Linked DNA regions of Callithrix jacchus. Each later gene encodes a partner of the first gene's protein in a complex. Links are inferred from orthologs where the notes say so. Each region holds a gene or a part of one and is shown on either strand. Other genes may lie near its edges.

Region 1 (10,444 bases):
AAAGTATAATAGAAAGTTTCCTTTAATTTGTCTAGAATTGAAAGGGAAATAGGGGAGGCAGAGAGTTTCAAAAAATATTGAAGGCATCCAGAAGCTTTTTTGTTTGTTTGAGACCGAGTCTCGCTCTGTCACCTAGGCTGGAGTACAGTGGTGTGATCTCAGTGGCTCCCTGCAGCCTCTGCCTCCCAGGTTCAAGTGATTCTCCTGCCTCAGCCTCCCAAGTAGCTGGGATGACAGGTGCCTGCCAACATGCCCAGCTAATTTTTATATATTTAGTAGAGACAGGGTTTCACCATGTTGGCCAAGCTGCTCTCAATTCAAACTCCTGACTTCAGGGGATCCACCCGCCTTGGCCTCCCAAAGTGCTGGGATTACAGGTGTGAGCCACCAGGCCCTGCCTTAACCAATTTTTGTGAGATGACTTTTTAAGGTAATATCATGAACCACTTCATTCCTCTGCCAGGATCTGATTTAACCCTTCTAAAACATGGGTGGGCCCCATATACTGTGACCTGATTGGATCCCCACAGTTAGTCTTTGCTTTTCACTTAGAACATGCCCAATGCTGATACAGAGTAAAGATTCACTATAGATCTTATTGCTATCTATTTAAAAGTTTAAAACAAGCCTTACCAGTGGATGATGTCAAGAGTATAAGTCTATACTCCAAGAATGTTACAAAAAAAAAAAAAAGTTTAAGTCGGGTACATTTCATAGTAAAATTAAAAGGCCATTAAAATTTTGTTCTTTCGGGGCTGGGTGTGGTGGCTCACGCCTGTAATCCCAGCACTTTGAGAGGCTGAGGCAGGCAGATCACCTGAGGTCAGGAGTTCAAGACCAGCCTAGCCAACATAGTGAAAACCCCATCTCTACTGAAAATACAAAAATTTGCCAGGTATGGTGGCTGGTGCCTGTAATCCCAGGTACTCAGGAGGCTGAAGCAGAATTGCTTGAACCCAGGAGGCAGAGGTTGCAATGAGGCAAGATCATACCATTGCACTCTAGCTTGGATGACAAGAGCAAGACTCAAAAAAAGGAAGAAAAAAAATCTTGTTGCTTTGTAAATGCTGCTTTCATTTTTTCATTTTGGAGAGGGGAGCCTTGCCTATAGTCAGTGACTTGCACAGGGTCAAAATAGAGTGAGCATTTGTTTACTCACATTTGATAGGCTGTTCTTTATCTTGCATGAAAAGATAATGACCTAGCCAGTCTAACCCTGCTGGGATTCATATCAATGGCCCCAGGGGGTTGAGATGCTTCAAAGCTGCTGTTCAAATGGCAAAACCAGGTATCTTACTTGGATAATACTAAAGTATGTCTTTTATGGCTTTATTAGAATCTGAATTGTAAACATTTGGTAAAGTGGATTAAAATTCTGCTTTACAATTAATCTCTGAGTATGTGAGATATGCCTTTGTGACTTTTGCAATGCAGCAAATTCAAGCTGTTTTTTTTTTTTTGAGACGGAGTTTCGCTCTTGTTACCCTGGCTGGAGCGCAATGGCGCGATCTCGGCTCACCGCAACCTCCACCTCCTGGGTTCAGGCAATTCTCCTGCCTCAGCCTCCTGAGTAGCTGGGATTACAGGCACGCGACACCATGCCCAGCTAATTTTTTGTATTTTTAGTAGAGATGGGGTTTCACTATGTTGACCAGGATGGTCTCGAATTCTTGACCTCGTGATCCACCCGCCTTGGCCTCCCAAAGTGCTGGGATTACAGGCTTGAGCCACCGCACCCAGCCTCAAGCTGTTTTTAAAAAATCAGGTTTTTAAAAAGCAGGGGCATTAATGCCAGGGCTGCTTGAAGATGAACAGCTACAGAGAAATCCTACAGTAAGAGGTTTTTTGTGGTTTTTTTTGAGGTGTCATTCCATTGAGGGTTATATGTATATATCCTAGTTGTTAGCATAACATTAAAATTAGTGACAATATACAGGTTTCTTGTATAGGTTTTGAAAAACTAGCACTCCTCAAAATAACAGACCAAGCAATGTAGTTTTGCTAATGGCACTTGCTATGACTCATGATAGGGACGAACTGCTGATGAGCATTATGACAAAAATAGCCTTAACTTCACCATTTATTTTATTAACATGGCTACCTTGCTAAAACATTTTCTGAAACCAAAAGCTAGGGTGATCATTCATAGCATTATCTTTTAAAAGACTATGTTGGGGTCCAAAGTGGCTCCCGCCGGAGGTCGTGGCGCTTGCGAAGGCGAGGTCATGAGTTCAAGGCTAACCTAAGCAACCTTATAAGCTCAAACTGATTGGCAAAAAAAAAAGACTGTCATACTGCATCGTTGAAAAAAAAAAAAAACATTCTGGAAGAAAGGTGCAGTGGCTCACCCCTGTAATCCCAGCACTTTGGGAGGCCAAGGCAGGCAGATCACGAGGTCAGGAGTTCAAGACCAGGCTGGCCAACATAGTGAAACCTCATCTCTACTAAAAATACAAAAATTAGCCGGGCATGGTGGCACAAACTTGTAATCCCAGCTATTCGGGAGGCTGAGGCAGGAGAATTGCTTGAACCTGGGAGGCAGAGATTGCAGTGAGCTGAGATCAAGCCACTGTACTCTAGCCTGGGCAACAAAGCAAGACTGTCTGAAAAAAAAGAAAAAAACATTCTGGGTATTAGGATTTGCTTCCCGGTCTGTTAGGTTATCTGTTCTCCCCTCTAACTTAAAGTAATGTGTGAAAACAGTGCCATTCAGATATTGCTTAGGTAACTCTTAACAGGGCCTCAGCCTTTGCAGTTTTTAAACCAGTGACACTGCCTTTATACTGTTAGCAAGAACATACCTCACATACTCTGTTAACATGGCCTCAGCTTTTGGGCTTTCTAAACCAGTGAAACTGCCTTTATACTGTCAGCAAGAACAGCAGACTCCCATTAAAAAAAACCTATTACCCTACTCCAATTATTCATCTTTAAAAAGGCATAGGGTTTGCTGTTTTTGTTTTTTTTTTTTAATGTTTATCATCTTGACTTTTTTTTTTCCTTTTGGAAATTTTTGGATTGATTTGAAGATCATTTCAAAATGATCCAGAATATCAAAATCTATTTTTCCTCTTCCTAAATTATTTCTCAAAACAGTGTATTCATCAGATTTCTATGTGTGATAACGTAGCAGTCACTAACAGAACCTCAGTGCACTTCTTGGTTAGATATTCCACACCAAATAGCTAAAATCAACTGCTTTTGGGATTCTAAATGTACTTAAAGTTACAAGATCTGTATGAAAATGCAAGACACATTAATAAATTAAATTTTGGCAGCCAATTCATGATACAGCTCTTTTATCTCCAGATTCTGAGACTGAAAATATAACTTGATCAATCTATTGAATTACTGTAATAAAACAATTACTCCCTTAGAATTTTAATTTAGAATTTGTCTACTTCCAAAAAGGGTTTAAACCAGTTACTATTAGGCATTAGAAAGGTCATTTCAAATGTTGCAGAACACAGAGGATCTTCGTGTATTTAGCTTAACGATACAAAAAGAAATTTTGCAAGCATAAATATTCACTCTTACAACATGGTGGCAAGGTTTTTCTTTGTAGGACAATCTCTGACTGCCCTCTTACCTGCCAGTCTTCTCTCATGCTCAGTATGTGAGACAGTTAAGGGAAAAACACTAGAAGCAACTAAAATGATTGGCGAACTTCTCACTCTAACCAAGACTGCTTAACACAAAATTACCGTCTTCCCAATAGGGTTTTACGTCCTTTATCTGAAAAGGGCACTAAATATAATTACTGTGGACTTGAGTTTTTCTTTCTGGGGGGAGAAATCACCTTTATAAAGATAAAAGGCACAGAAGCAACTTCTTTTATCCTTTATTGGTGCCACTGTGAAATACTATTATGGCTTATACTTTAGCATGGAAGTGCTGGAAGGTGGTTATTGATCAGTGAATGCCGTTGACACCTTCATGTTCTTTGACTGGATGCTCCGGCTTTGAAGCGCCACATTTCTACACTGCTAACCTAGAGGAACCTGTGTTGAGATGATCCCACCGAAATAACACGGCTAATAGTTCATCTCTTTCCTCCAGGAACCTTCAGGTTTTACCAACCATCTTTAACCTAATTATCTAAAGAGACATAAGTTTGATGTGGCAAAAAAAAAAAAAAAAAAAATCCTCCTTAACGTTCGGATACTCGAATTCTTTAACGAAACTCACCACTGAGCTAGGCCGGCATATGTCCGACAAAATGTCCGCAAAAAACGTTAAGAAAAGCTGTTATAAGGCCAGCTTGAGAGGCATCATAAATGGCCTTCGCTGTCCTTTGAGCTAATTATCTAACACCCGAAGAGAGTGCTGGTTCTAGTTAGAATCCGCGCATCAGGTTCGCCAACCGTCAGAAGGGCGCGTGCGAGGGCAGGGAGGATGTTAAACCCCGTTTCAGGGCTCCTCCCTAGGCTGTAGGAAACCACCACTCTGAAGCCTGGCGGGGGAGGAGTGCTGCAGGCAGCTGCCGAGGGAGCACTCTGCGGCGAGGCCGTTTCCCTGAGTCACGGAGAGGGCGGGAGGCTGCACCCGTATGCTCCCGCCATGTCCTCCTGTAAAGGGCTCAGTCGAAACAGGCAAGGGCCTCAGGGGAAGGAAGCGGCACCCGCTATTCCTCAAAGTGGCCCAACAGCCACCTCACTCCCTGAAGACCTTGCATTTCCTTGGAACGCACTCTCCATTCTGGCAGCAATCAGCCGACCCTTCCCCATCAGCATCACGTGCACATGGAAGTACGTGGGTGGGACCTAAAGCACCCACGGAAGTGACGTTGGTCGCTCCGAGTCGCATGATGTGGCAAAATGAAAAAAAAAGCCGCGGTGGGGGGAGAAAAAGAAGATTGGCGAAAATTATGAGTCTAAAAAGTAGTCCCTCTGGTTCCTCTGTTTTCCCATATGCGTCAGGACGCGAGGGTTTGGGCGCACTGCGCCGCGAATTCCTGCGCCCGCCGCGCGCCGCTCCTCGGAAGGGTACATAAGGCGGAGGAGAGTGAGGCGACTGGGCGGAGTTCTGTCGCTGGGATCCATCCGCAGGGCTCAGCCGTTTCCGGAGTCTGCGCTGCGCCCGGTTCCGCCATTGCGGCTCTCTTGGCCCCTGGAGCCTCCGCCCCCGACCCGAGCTCTTTCGTCCGCCTGCCAGTTTCCTGCGTCCCCGGAGAGGATCCTGCTGAGCCCAGCCTTCCCCCTCCCCTTCTCCTCCTCTCCCTTGGAGAGCCCGGGCAGCCACTGCCCCGCAGTCCCAGTGACAGGAGGAGACCATACCCCCCGACAGCGCCATGGCCCAGATTCTGCCAATTCGTTTTCAGGAGCATCTCCAGGTGCGGCCGGGCCCGGGCTGGTGAGGGCTGTGGAGAAGGTGGTAGGAAGGATGGAAGAAGCTGGAGTCTGGGCCTGAGCAGTATTGGAGCTGGAAGGGTGGGGGGGGGAGGTTATCGGTGTTTGGGGTAGATGGAGGAGGGGGCAGTATCTTAGAAAGCTTAAAAGGTTAAATGATGTGGGGCTTGGATGGAAAGGACGGGAGTTGGGGAGCAAAGGGCTGCAAGGCCAGGCCTGGATCCAAAGGCCTCTCGATCTTGCTTCCTGGATGGCCGGTACTGCGCCTACTAACTCTCCCCTCCCCATTTTATTTAGTTCATTCATTTGGGTAGGGGAGTGGGAGGGGGGATTCTCCCTTGTTTCTATCAGAGCAAGGATTCTTATCATCCCCTGGGCCAGTGCAGGGCTGTCACCTTCTATTGCTTTCCTCTTTTCCTCATCGTGTCTGCACCCAGGAGTTGTGGGGCGGGTGGGTTGGGGAGGAGCAACCTTTTTTTTTTTCCTCCCTCTGCGGCTCTCAACTGAGAAAGGCACCTTCTCCGGTGGTGAGGGTTGAGGGTTGGTGAGGCGTTGGTTTGTCTCTTGCCTTCCCTGAGGCAGTAGGGACAGAAGGTCACTGAAAGAACGGAACGAGGGTAGAATGGGGGAACGCGTTTCTCAGAACGTTGTCAATCTCAGAGTGTGTGGGGTCAAGATCCCTAGGGAAACTCGCCTCCCTTCCCCCACTTTTTTATTTCTCTGGGGATGTTGTGGCTCTTAACCCCTCTCTGGTTCTAGAAGGTGGGAAAGTTACGCAGAGGTTATCTTCTAGTCTTCTCTAGTAGTAGCAGGTAGTTTTGATATCTTCCTCAGGATCATATGGAATTGAACAGAGCCCTGGGGACAGAGCACAGCTGCTCTGAGACTTGCAGGGTTATTTTGTCTGTAACTGGCTTCCCTTTAGTAAGTTCTAGAGTTCTTCCCCATGGTTCCTTATCCTGGAGGCAACATATTATTGTCTCATCTGGCAGCATGCCAGTTGCCGGCCTAGGCAGGTGACCATTGGAAGGCTTCACTGAATTTAAACCTCTTCAGAGCTTTTGATTTTCCGGTGTCACCAATCCTGATTTTTACTGTAGCTAAAATAACTTATTCCTATTAATTTGCTCTCTTCCCAAATATCCTCTTAAAGAAGCCTGCCTCAGCTCAATGGTCTGAAGGGCTAATTCCATCATAACAGAGAATGCGGTGGTTTGGCATGACACTAATACCGGTGACCTGTTAGACACTTTACCATTGAAGACCATTTTTATTTACATTTCCCCCATTGGCATAACATGCATAAAGGATTCTTGTTAATAAAAGGGTTTAATAATTCAAGCTATAAGTAACGTAATTTCATATTTCTTTGCAGGTATTACCATATTTGCACTAGCAAGGAATTATTTTCCTTTAAGGCTTGAAATGTAAAGAATAATAAGTCTTTACCCATAAAATGAGTTAAATAATGCACTTTCTTTAGTCATAATTTTCAAATAACTCATCTGAAGTAATGGAATATACCTTGGCAATAAAAAAACTTTTGCAGAAGGTTGAAAATGTTCAGTGACTTAAATGAAAGTTGCCAGGTTAAAAAAGAAGAAAAAAAATGTTCAGTGACAAAAATGGACATGTTTTTCTGATCAATTCTAGTTTAATTGCCGTGGTTACCTCTGTTAAATTGGGGTGGCAAATGAATGTGGAGAGTTGAGAAGGTGCTGTTCTTAAGTGTGAAAGGAAAACATGGGCTTATTTTCATACTAATGTGCATCTGAAATATCTTTCTGCAGACAAATGTTTATAAACCACACACAGAGAATCAAGTACAGCTGCTGTTTATTTTCCACGGCAGATGTATAGCTCACTACTAAATCTTGTGGTGGTTCGAGTAATAGCTTTTCATTTCTTTTAAAGAGGAGACAAGAATTGTTAAATGATCCCAAAGATTGGAACCCAACCTCGTCAGTTATCGAAGACAAATTTAATACATCTGTTTTCTAACTGGTTCAAAGTTTCTGCAGATACTTGAGCAAAGCCATTTTCTTCTCAAATAATTTGAAGATTTTGAATATAAAGCAGATTTGTAAATTGAAAAATTCAGTCTGTTTTTTGGATTGCTATGTCATGCCTAAACTTAAGCTTGCTTAACTAATGTGACTGTGTGCTCCAGCTGATTAATTGCAGAGCCCAATAACCGCAGCCTCTTCCATGATAATGTATGTCCTGACTTCATATCATTATCTCCTCCCTTTTTAAAACTTAGAAGGTTTTTGTTTTTTGAAGAGGCAGGGTTTTTGCTCTGTCTTCCATGCTAGAGGTCAGTGGTGCCATCACAGCTCACTGCAGCCTTAACCTCCAGGACTCAAGCCGTCCTCCCACCTCAGCATCCTGAGTAGCTGGGACTACAGACATGAGCCACCACACCTGGCTAATTTTTGTATTTTTTGTAGAGATTGGGCTTCACCATGTTGCCCAGGCTAATCTCCTGGGCTCAAGCAATCCTTTGCCTCTGCCCCCCGAAAGTGCTGGGATAGTAGGTGTGAACCCCCAAGCCGAACTAATAAGGATTATTTTGATTGGTGTCTTTGGTCTCTGACCTCTGAGCTTCTACCTGTTTGCTAAGATGCAGAAAACTTTCTGAAACACGTAAGATAAAAACTGGAAACAAGAAATGAGGAACTTAAGTATGAGTATAGAGTTAGCTTATGAAACTGTAAATGAACTTATTTTTATACCCTTTAACTACATTGTCCAGTTGAAGGATCTGTCATCATCAGTGGACTGATAGTAAATGAATTTTAATTTATGAATATTTCTTTTTTTCTAGATGGATAGCAGTTAATAAATGAATGCCTATTTGAGCAAGATATTGTTGGAATTGCAGTTTCTTAAAAATCCTAGGCTACATATATAAATTATTGCCTGTAATTCTCAATTTTTTGGCACATTAAGTATCTTTAGGCCACCTGAAACATTCTTTTGTATTTCTAGACTCCTTGAGTCTCCAATTAAAAATCACCCTAACCTATTCTTTGCCCTTTGATCCATAAAAGCAGGCATGGAATGTTTCGTTGAGTCAAATGTTAGGGATTCCTGCTATAGTTATTTTGGGTTGCAAATAGAAAGCAATGCTAAGTACTAGGATTTACTACATGCTTAGTTGTACTGTCTGGAAGAGGTATACTTCCTGGAATTATGCTGCAGTCTCCTGGGAATAACTTCTAAGTTTAAAATGTATCATATTCTTCAGAATTTTCTTAATGGTCAGTTTACTTAGCTTAAAGTGGTGTGGTTAACTTTAGTGAAAGTGCTTTCACTCTGATTAGGAATAAGGCACAGAATGGTGTGTATGTAGAACACAATCATTTTCATTTGAGTATTTAGGAAAATTCACATTTCAGGAACCTTGGTAGTTGCTCTTGAACAATTGTTTCTGACCATAATTGGAACTTGTACCTTGCTTTTAAAAGGTTCCATTTACATTGAGTCCTCAGCTTCTTTGCAAAATTGTTTCTTCCATGCATATGTTTAACTCTATATGTTATTTGAATTATTTTTAACAAGATGTTTTCTCTGTCATTGTTACTGTTGTGGCTTTTTCTCTTTGAGAGTTATTGTCCAATAGAACTTTCTTCAATGATGGAACTGTCTACTAACTACATAGGGATATTGAGCACTTGAAATGTGGCTGATGTGACTCAGGAACTAAATTTGTGCTTCAGTTTCTTTTTAATTAATTTAAATGTAAATAGCCACATGTGACAATTGACTACAATATTAGACTGCACAATTACAGGCCATGCTGATGTGCTTTGTAAGTTTGAAGATTTAGCTTACCACTCATGTATATGTATTTCATTAGATAAAATTAAAACACTCATTGTTCAGAAGTTTTAACTGAATACTGTCTTGGAAAGTGGTGGTAATGAACAATGACTAGAAGCAGACTTGAGACCTTATTACTGCTGTAAATTTGGTTAGGTATTTTCAGGTCTTCATTCAGTCCTCCAGACAGCTTTCTAAAAAGTGAGACTCAAAAGTAGTGGGAATGCTGTCCAAATGAGATGTGTGCCTGGGTCTTCTGACACAAAGTATTTCAAAGAAATTGAATAGTTAGCCTTAAAAAGAGAACTTAGACCCAGAGAATTGAGTTCTCTCTACTTGTTTATAGATTAATGATGTGGTATAGTAGAACAGGGCTTTAGGGGTTGTTGAAACCAGTGTTTCCAATAGAAAAATATGAGCCACATACTGTTGTTTTTTTTTTTAAAGGCAGTCTTACTTTGTCACACAGACTAGAGTGCAGTGGTGTGATCTCAACTCACCGCAACTTCCAGAGTCAAGTAATTCTTCTGCCTCAGCCTCCTGAATAGCTGGGATTATAGGCACCTGCCACCATGCCTGGCTAATTTTTGTATTTTTAGTAGAGACAAGGCTTTACCATGTTGACCAGGCTTATCTCCAACTCCTGACCTCAAATAATCTGCCCACCTTGGCCTCCCAAAGTACTGGGATTATAAGCGTGAGCCGCCGCCCGTGGCCTCACATATTTTTGCATTTTCTAGCAGCCACGTTAAAAGTGAAAAAACAGATAAAAGCAATTAATTTGTCTGTGTTTGTGTGTGTGTGTGTGTGTGTGTGTGTGTGTGTGTAAGAGAGAGAGAGAGAGAGAGGGAGGGAGTCTTCCTCTGTCACCCAGGCTGGAGTGCAGTGGCATGGGTGATCTCTGCTCACCACAACCTCTGCCTCCTGGGCTCAAGCAGTTCTCCTGCCTTAGCCTCCAGAGTAGTAGCTGGGATTACAAGCGCGCACCACCACTCTTGGCCAATTTTTTATATTTTTAGTAGAGACAGGAGTTTCACCATGTTGGCCAAGCTGGTCTTGAACTCCTGACCTCATGATTCACCTGCCTCGGTCTCTCAAAGTGCTGGGATTACAGGCATGAGCCACTGCACCCAGCCTAGTGTGTATTTCTTTTTTCTTTTTTTTTTTTGGTTGCCAGGGGGAGGCACAGAGACTCACTCTTGTCACCCAACCTGGAGTGCAATGGCATGATCTCAGCTCGCTGCCACCACTGACCCGTGGGTTCAAGTGAT
Region 2 (9,677 bases), on another chromosome or scaffold:
TGAGATACTTCTCATCTATTTGATTTGCAAACAGAATAGTGTGTATTGTATGCTATTGTATTTTTAAGAAAGAAAAATTGTGTATGTTTGTATTTGTCTACATGCATTAACTATCCATGGAAATATTCACAAGAAATGAGTAACACTGGCCTTCATGAAAGGTTCACAATATGCAGTTGGGACACAGTGCTGAGAAGGAGACTTCTCACTTGTACCTTTTGAATTAGGAACCACATGAATGTACTAGCTATCAAAAAAAAATTTTTAATTTACAAGATAAGAGAAAATCACCAAACGTCAAGTTTCCTCCCACTGTATGAAGGTTAAAAATTTTCGGTTTTGGTTTTAAATGTCTAGACATTAATACAAAATTCTTACACTAGAAACAGACAGACATACCTGAAATATGGCACATCACGGTAGGGCTGAGATATTTGACCTTCATTTGTTTCAAGTGATGAGACTTCTTTTATTGGAAGGTCATTTGAATCTTTAGTAGTAGCTTCATTTTTATTTAAAATATGTTCTATAAAGAAAGTCTTACATATAATTTCCAAAGCAACAATTCCTAAAATGACAGCCCCTAAAAAAACCTTTTAAAAATCCTTCAGTTTTTTTCCATGTTTGATTTTAAAATTTTATTTCTGTCTGAATGACTTCATTCACATTTCCCCTAAAGTAGCTCTGAATATTTTTTTCTTTAAATTTACATTTATTTCCCCTTTTATCTGTATTCTTCATTCCAATTCTGTCTTCAGATATCTTTACCCATGCCTTCCCATCTTTTCTGACAGCGAGTTCATATATGACCCTTAGTTCATATCCTCAAATGATATGGTGAAAAAGGGCTCTAAATGAATCTGACAATAATCCAGAAAAGTAAAAATTTAAATTACTACACCTGAAAGTAAAAGATTTTTTTGTATTATCAACAACATTAATCTAAAAAATAAATACATTAAATAAATAAATAAATACATTAATTAAATACTATACCTTCATGCCCAACAGTCAGAGGACCCAAAGGACATTGCAATTTATTTGAATCCTGCTGCACTGTCTTGGTAGAGTAAGTTTTACATTTTTGTGCCAAAATTTCTTTTGTTGCTTCTTGAGATTTATCACTAAAAACAATAGCAAAAATATACACTTGATGAAACATGAACTCCATATATCTAATTTTAGGGGTTTCAAAGTTGTGTCACTTTTTATAAATCTTGGCTAAAAAGGAAATTCTTCTATTTTTAAAAAAATGTGCATTCTGGAGGGGAGAAAATTTAAACACCTATAGTGTAAATGTCCATCTTTACTAATTAATTGCAATGATATTAAATATTTTGAAGACTTCTTTTTGGTTTTTTTTGAGATGGAGTCTTGCCCTTTTGCCCAGGTTGGAGTGCAATGGCCTGCTCTTTGGCTCACTGCAACCTCCACCTCCTGGGTTCAACCAATTCTCCAGCCTCAGCCATCCAGAGTAGCTGGGATCACAGGCAAGTGCCACTGCGCCCGGTATCTTTAGCAGAGACAGGGTTTCATCATGTTGCACCAGGCTGGTCTTGAACTCCTGACCTCAGGTGATCTGCCCACCTCAGCCTCCCACAGTTCTGGGATTACAGGCATGAACCACCGGGACTGGTGATTTTGAAGATTTTTAAAATTTTTATTTATTTACTTTTTTTGGTGCCATGACTTGGATGAATATTTCTTAATAGAACATAAACACTTAATAGTCTTAGATGCTGCTGAGCAGTTTCTAGTATATTTGCTGTCAGCCAGTCTTTGCAAAATGATCTTGCCTTTTCTTTTAAAGGTTCCAACTAATTTTTCCTGTTTTATAAAGTAATCATTTTTGTCTTCAGAAGCAGTTTTTCTAAATACTGAGCCAGAAAAAAATGAGGAAAAAGTCATATCTGAGCTACAGTATTATAACAAGTTTCTTCTTTTGAAAAATGTTATTTGTGTTAAGTAACTCATTAAAAACAAAAAAACCCCAAATTGTATAGTGAAAATAATAATGCATAGGAAATATAGAAACTGTCAAGTACATTATTGTACCTTCTGAAGAATTTTTTAAAAGAAAAAAATTTCATGGTTCATAACTAACATAGTTCAATAGCTAAACAACTTTTTAAGAGCACAGGCTAGCCGGGTGCGGTGGCTCACACCTGTAATCCCAGCACTTTGGGAGGCCGAGGCGGGTGGATCACGAGGTCAAGAGATCGAGGCCATCCTGGTCAACATGGTGAAACCCTGTCTCTACTAAAAATACAAAAAATTAGTTGGGCATGGTGGCGTGTGCCTGTAATCCCAGCTACTCAGGAAACTGAGGCAGGAGAATTGCCTGAACCCAGGAGGTGGAGGTTGCGGTGAGCCGAGATTGCGCCATTGCACTCCAGTCTGGGTAACAAGAGCGAAACTCTGTCTCAAAAAAAAAAAAAGAGCACAGGCTAAATATAAGAAAGGCATTTATTACCCATCTTAGCAAGGGACTTATTAATATTACATTCTTACACTTCTGTTTTTGAAGGAGTCCAGGTGTAACTGGGTGTCAAAAAAGCATTGGCACTTCTGGGAGTCATAGGTGTTACTTGATAGGTCTTGAGACCATCCAGTGGCTGAAACGTAAAATCTTTAGGTGCGAAGGAATTCTTCCCTTTCATTTTTGCAGAATGTATCTCAGGTAAGTTTTCCATTTTTGATAAGACTCCATCTGGATCTTTTCCATTTGTTGCACTAGTTTGTGAATCCAAAGTATTTTCTTCACTATAGACTTCACAAGAAATACCCTAGGATGTGAGTTAACATAGTAAGATTTCTCTCTTCTGAGGATATATTCAACCAATTTTTATATGTCTGAAAACATGACAACTGAAATATATGTACTACGTGCATAATTTGAAAGACAAAAACAGATACAGTTAAGTGTATACATGGAATCCGAAGACCGGTTATGCTAAACCATTGCTATTCCCCAGGAATAGATAGAACCAATTCTTATTAAAAGACTAATATCAGCCGGCGTGGTGGCTCATGCCTGTAATCCAAGCACTCTGGAGGCCAAGGTGAGCAGATCACCTGAGGTTGGGAGTTCAAGACCAGCCTGACCAACATGGTGAAACCCGATTTAAAAAGAAAAAAGAAAAGAAAAGAAAAAGACTAATATCTTTTAGAAATTACAACAAACTAAAAGAGAATGGAAAATTAATATGGAAAAACTTATTCAACGAACATAGACCTTTTTACTTAAATTATGTTGATAATTACAATGGTTTAAAATCAGAAATCTAACATTATGGAATGACTATTGTTAAGGACCAAATCCTTTACTTAAACAACCTTAGATTACAAATAACCTTACCACAATACTTTTCAATGTGACACAAAAGATTAACCATATAAAATACAAAGCATATTTACTATTTCAAGTCAATTTATGACTTGGTATTTAAATATAATTTCTAGAGGTTTCTAGGCTTCTGATTTTTAATAAGATATGAACTCAAACCCAGGTATTTCAACCTGGACAAAAGTTTAAGTAGCAACACTGTTGAGGCTAGCATGGCGGTCAAAGCAAAAATTAGTGATGATCCTTAAGGGTAGAATAAATCTTAAGGGAGGACCTATAAGGTCCAGCTGCTTTATCTGCAAAGATTCATTGTATGTTTCCTTTCTTGATCTGTGTTTGATTTTTTACTAAGAATTTAGCTAGGTTACTTAATCTTTGTTACTTTTTTTAAATTAAGAAATTACACTGGTGGGGAACAGTGGCTCACACCTGTAATCCTAGCACTTTGAGAGGCCAAGGCAGGTGGGTCACCTGAGGTCAGGAGCTCAAGACCACCCTGGGCAACATGGTGAAATGCCATTTCTACCAAAAATACAAAAGTTAGATGGGTGTGGTGGCATACAGCTATAATCCCAGCTATTTGGGAGGCTGAGGCAGGAGAAGCACTTGAACCCTGGAAGTGGAGGCTGCAGTGAGCTGAGATGGCATCATTGCACTCCAGCCTGGGCAACGGAATGAGACTCTGTCTCAAAAAAAAAAAAAAAAAGAAATTATACCATAGATTTATAAGCCAAGGGATCCTCAAATGGGGCATATTTTTTTGAAGACCTTATTAGAAACCGTTGCAGATGCTGGCAGAAATTTTAGTTTAATTCTCACAACTACTCTATGTAGGTATTCCATATTAGGAATAAGAAAACAAACTCATAAATTACATAACTTGCCCAGGGTTATATAATATAGCTAATTGGAAGCAGAGGGAGTATTCAAACCCAGGCCTAAATGAATCCAAAGTCAATGCATTTCACCCCGCTCCATCCTATGTCTTGGCTAATTCCCACATAAAGGTTTCTCTCAGCTGTGTTTTTATTATTTTTCTCCATCTTCTAACCAAATTATGCTTTCCCTACATACAAAGCTCTGAAGGGTGCAGTGGCTCACATCTGTAATCCCAGCACTTTGGGAGGCCAAGGCAGGTGGATCACGAGGTCAGGAGTTTGAGACCAACCTGGCCAATATGGTAAAATCCCATCTCTACTAAAAATACAAAATTTAGTGGAGTGTGGTGGCACGTGCCTGCAGTTCCAGCTACTTGGGAGGCTGAGGCAGGAGAATCACCTGAACCTGGGAAGCAGAGGTTGCAGTGAGGTAAGATCATACCACTGCACCCCAGGCTGGACAACAAAGCGAGACTCTCTCAGAGAAAAAAAAAAAAAAAAAGCTCTGAAAATAAGATACCTGAAAAACAACAAGAACAAATCCTCTTGATGCTTTCTTATGGTCTGAGAAGTTTTTTATTTATTTTTTAATTTTATTTATTTAAATGGAGTTTAACTTGTTTACCCAGGCTGGGGTGCAACCGCACGGATCTTGGCTCACCGCAACCTCCGCCTCCCAGGTTCAAGCGATTCTCCTGCCTCAGCCTCCCGAGTAGCTGGGATTACAGGCATGCACCACCATGCCTGGTTAGTTTTGTATTTTTAGTAAGGACCAAGTTTCTCCATGTTGGTCAGATTAGTCTAGAATTCCTGACCTCAGATGATCTGCCTGCCTCGGAATCCCAAAGTGCTGAGATTACAGGTTTGAGTCACCGTGCCTGGCCTGGTTCAGGAAGTTTTAACATACATGTAGGTTAACCTCTTGAAGCAGTTCTGTCTGTTTAATTTCAACTTTATGAAAGTAGCAATGAGATTTTCAAAGCATCTAGAAGTAAAAAGATGTTTATTCTCTACCTTGTCAGGTTTTGTTTCTATGTTTTTGGCAGGTCTTCCTTTATTTGGCACCTTTCTTTCTGGTTCGTTTTCTAAAATAACAATAAAATAAAATATTTTACTAGATAGAAATGCTACATTAAAATACTAGGTAACTTGGGAAAGGAAAAGAAGAAACAGGAGAAATACATGTTTTGAAGGATTTTTATTATAAAAAGCCATATTATAAAAGAGGTTAAAAACAAATGGAATTTCCTGCCAAGTACAGACCATCTGCTTTCAAAGCCAGAGTGTTTCACCTTTTCCCTCTGAATACCAAATACAAATTGAGTATCCCGTATCCAAAATGCTTGAAACCAGAGGTATTTTAGATTCCAGATTTTGGAATGTATATACTATACTTACAGGTTCAGCATACCTGATACAAAAATCTAAAATCTGAAATACTCCAGTGAGCATTTCCTTTGAGCATGACCTTTAAATGTCATGTCGTTGCTCAAGATTTTGAATGTTTTGATTAGGGTTGCTCAACCTGTACATATTTATTACAATTAGAAAAATACAAAAGACTATGAAGAACAGCAATGAAAAGATCACCCAGATTCCATTACTCTGTTGTCACTTAGAGTATGGTTTTCCAGTCCTATATCCACATAATCACATACTGTTTTTTAGAATTGTGATCCTACTGTACAGTTTGACCTGCTTTTCTTTGCCCACTTAATATATCATGAACCATGTCATTAAGTGCTCTTTTATAATATTGTTCTTAATGGCTACATTATATTGCCCCAAATAAATGAACTATGATTTATCAGGACCATTAATTTTTCATTTTGAAACACTGCTTATACCAATTCAGGTCTTCAATGTTTGGGCATCCATGATGTGCCAACTGGATGTCAAGACACAGAATCTAGTTTCAGGAATTACAATTTCCTGTTTCCTTCTCTCCTACTCAAAGTACTTGTTGATTTTTGAAACAGAATACAAAAACCTCAAGGACCAAACATTCTAGTTCAGTAACTGATCAAGGAATAGTTCTTACCATTAGCAGCTCTTCTGACTGGCTTTCTTGCTGTGGTAGATGAGACTGTTCTGGGAACCTGCTTTGCCGCTTCAGTAGCTGATCGAGTCATTCTCAATGCCATGGGCATTACAGGCTGCACAACTGTGTGGAAAAAAAATAATCAAATGTCCTTTGTAGTTATTAAATTATGGCTGTGAAGCCGGGCATGGTAGTACATGCCTGTAGTCCCAGCTACTCAGGAGGCTGAGGCGGGAGGATCACTTTAGCCCAGAAGTTTGAAACCAGCCTGGGCAACATAGAGAGGTCCCATTATCTAAAAAAACTGTAAAAATCAGCTGGGCATGGTGGCAAGCCTGTAGTTCTAGCTACTTAGGAGGCTGAAGTGGGAGGATCACTTGAACCCAGGAGGTGGAGGCTCCAGTGAGCTATGATTGCGCTACTGCACTCCAACCTGGGCGACAAGCCTGTCTCAAATAAATAAATCAATAGATTCCAGTTGACCTTCTGGACACTTAAAAAAAATTATGGCTGTGGTAGCCTTAGAGAATTTATAGTAATTGCTAATATTCCTACCTTTTTTCTCTTTGTCTGACACTTTCTTTTCAGAAGTTTTTCTTTGACCAGGTCGGACTGCTTGAACATCACTGTCATCATCCATCTATTTAAGAGATTAGGTGCCATGTGATTTAATTGCAAAATGAATCAAAGCACCACATTTTTAATCCATAAATTGATTCCTCATCTGAAATATGATCGTTGTAAATGACCCAACCAAAAAAAAAAAAACCTACTAACCCAAATAAAATGAGATAAAATAAAAAAGCTTTCCATTAAGCTTCCAAAAAAGCTTACATCCTTTTTCAGAATCACAGATTTTAGAAAATGCAAATAACCTAAGCTATTAAAAACTGCTAACTATAACTTGCCTTCTGAAGGTTTTTAAACACTCCAGACATGCTTTCACTTCAAGAGATTTTAATTTTGCCTAGAAAATGCTTCTCCTGGATAAAAAGCTCTTTTCCATGGTTCTCTCCTGTACTCCCATAATGACTTTACTCAAAAGGCTTTCATCTCAGAGAGGCCTTCCTTGACTGCTCAATCAAAATTCTACCCCCCACACCTACTTCTAGCACATCCCATCTCCCTTTTAAAAAATCTCCTCCATAATACTTATGCTCTTCTAACATATTATGTTTGTTTTTTTTTTTTTTTAACTGCCTTACATGTAAGTTCCACAAAGACAGGAAATTTATTATTATATTCAAAAGCTCACAACAATGCCAGGAACATCATAGCAATGCAAAATCAATTACATATGCATATGTGGAACTTAGCTTCCTTCCCTGATAAAGAGGCATACTAATTCCCTTTGCCCACTTCACTTTTAGTAACCCTCCTAATATCTTTATTACAGTATTGTGAAGACCCATAAGTTTATAACACCTACCCTGTGTGTTTTCCTCCCCATCTGCATTTTATGCAGGTAACTTGAATGCATAACATGAACCCAGTAAACAAAACAAGAGTGTGACACAAAGACAGTTTGCCATGGATCTCATAAGGAATGTTGGAGCAAATATTTTAAGTGAAATTACTCTACATCACCATACCAAAAACAGTGACTTTCATACCTGTTAACTCTAGTAAATTAACCATTATGCTTGATTCTGATACTAGATTAAAAGTGAATTTATTCACTCTGAAAAAAAGTACAATTTATCATTTTAGTAACAATTATCTACTATCAACTATACCTTAGTCTGCTCCATTTGGTCTTTGGCCTTTGACCTTGTAATCCGTACAGAAGATGAAATAGCCTTAGAATATTCAAAAGAAAATAAACTTTAAAAAAACGAACTGGCAAATAAGAAAAAAAAAAAGAACTGGCAAAGGTTTACTTCCATATCTTATTACAAAATAAAGTTCTCTTTTTAAAGTTAAATTCTATCCTTAATCCCTTATAGCAGCAAAAATATACTTACTTAAATTCCTATTTTTTTCTGGTTCTAGCCTGATTTAAATTAAGTTTAAGTCAATAACTTCAAAAATCACTCATATTTCTCAATGAGAAAGAAATTTCAAACCACATTTTCCAGGTATTGTAATCCTCATTAATATGATTAACTAGACAGTAAGAATGCCACAGATGAGCAGATTAGAGTTATTAGGATCTTTGTTTTCTATTTATAAAAAGCTATCTTACAGCTTTCCTAGTTTTGAGTTCTAACAATTTGCTTTTGATTCTCATGATTATGCACTTGTCCACTGTCCATAAGAAAACAGAGACTTGATCACAAAATGTGGAAAACTCTAGCAAGAGAAAAAATGATTAAAAAGTGATAAGATATTTACTAAGTCTGTAAAATTCCTTAAAAAGCATAATCACAGACTTCTCTAGATTAGAAACCATTTTTTTCTAATCAGTGAAAACCTAGTGCTAAAAACTAGTCTTTCTTCTAGAGTGCATAAAGAAAGCAGAATTCATCAATGGCTACCGTAAAAACAGAATATAAAAACACTGATTGGTGAATCTTATTATTTAATACCATGATGTACCTCTGTTCCTATTTAACACTTTTTAAATAGTTGTTTGGAGTTTAGACCAGTGATTGGTATCCTACATATTCTTGAAAAGCCAGCTTAAATCTAACCCTTTCCAAGAGTAGTTCTTTGTTGTTCCTCCAAACAGAAACAATCTCTCCCTCCTCTCATATAGAAAATATTTATCTATATCTTGCCACCTTGAATTGTATCCTATTAGTTTTGGTCTCTTCCATATTATACTAAGGTTATACCAGAGTAAATAATCAAGGATCTGTCCAATGAATCAATGAGATTCACAATGCCAAGAATAATATTCAAGTTTTACTTAAATCAGGAATGTACATACAGTCAATGAGATCATCAGTGACTACAAATTTACAATCTAGCTGCTTTTGTTCAAACTTTATCCTTCCTGACTCACTGACCACACTCTCCTTTAGATTACTCTGCCTTTAACCTTCTATCCTTTTAGTTCTCTTGCCTCTCTGCCCAGTCCTCAGCCTGGTACCTGACTTCTGCCCACCTGAAGGTGCTCTCTAGAGTCCACTTTTTCATAATTTTATATATCCTAATTGGAATGGTCTCAGTCCCACAGCTTAAATTCCTGTCCATACTCCCAGTATTATATCCTAAATCTACATCCTAGCACCAATTTCCATCTTGCTTTCCAAATTTTTACTCACTGGTATCTAGATGTTTTACACAAGTTTAAGATTTTTAAAAAAGGTTATTAGCATGCACCCACTTAAACCTGTTCCTTTTCTTGTCTTATCTCTTTTAGCAGCAGCATAATTTATATGGTTAATCAAACTAATAGCTTCAGAATCTTCTCTCTGCTTTTTCAATTTCCTTTACCTCTCACCATCTACTCGGCCACCAGTCCTGT

The links. Proteins that work in one complex are often made in the same cells at the same time.
Region 2: the proteins of CLTC (region 1) and DLGAP5 are in contact, whole or in part, in a crystal structure (PDB 7ZX4), measured with the Homo sapiens proteins. The link is inferred for Callithrix jacchus from reciprocal best matches to the Homo sapiens genes CLTC and DLGAP5. Residues at the interface, in NP_004850.1 of Homo sapiens: Val50, Arg64, Pro65, Ile66, Ser67, Ala68, Leu82, Lys83, Ala84, Thr87, Gln89, Phe91, Ile93, Lys96, Ser97, Lys98; in NP_055565.3 of Homo sapiens: Gly833, Asn834, Leu835, Ile836, Thr837, Phe838, Ser839, Pro840, Leu841.

Annotation. Positions count from the first base shown.
Region 1 is NC_133506.1:94,187,686-94,198,129, forward strand, and holds the start of CLTC (clathrin heavy chain 1), read left to right. Parts: upstream 1-5,063; 5' UTR 5,064-5,290; coding exon 5,291-5,332; intron 5,333-10,444. UniProt on the Homo sapiens protein: Clathrin is the major protein of the polyhedral coat of coated pits and vesicles. Two different adapter protein complexes link the clathrin lattice either to the plasma membrane or to the trans-Golgi network.
Region 2 is NC_133509.1:89,746,586-89,756,262, forward strand, and holds part of DLGAP5 (disks large-associated protein 5), read right to left. Parts: intron 8,065-9,677; coding exon 8,002-8,064; intron 6,906-8,001; coding exon 6,821-6,905; intron 6,391-6,820; coding exon of another isoform or gene 6,389-6,390; coding exon 6,266-6,388; intron 5,310-6,265; coding exon 5,239-5,309; intron 2,787-5,238; coding exon 2,512-2,786; intron 1,125-2,511; coding exon 997-1,124; intron 527-996; coding exon 400-526; intron 1-399. UniProt on the Homo sapiens protein: Potential cell cycle regulator that may play a role in carcinogenesis of cancer cells. Mitotic phosphoprotein regulated by the ubiquitin-proteasome pathway.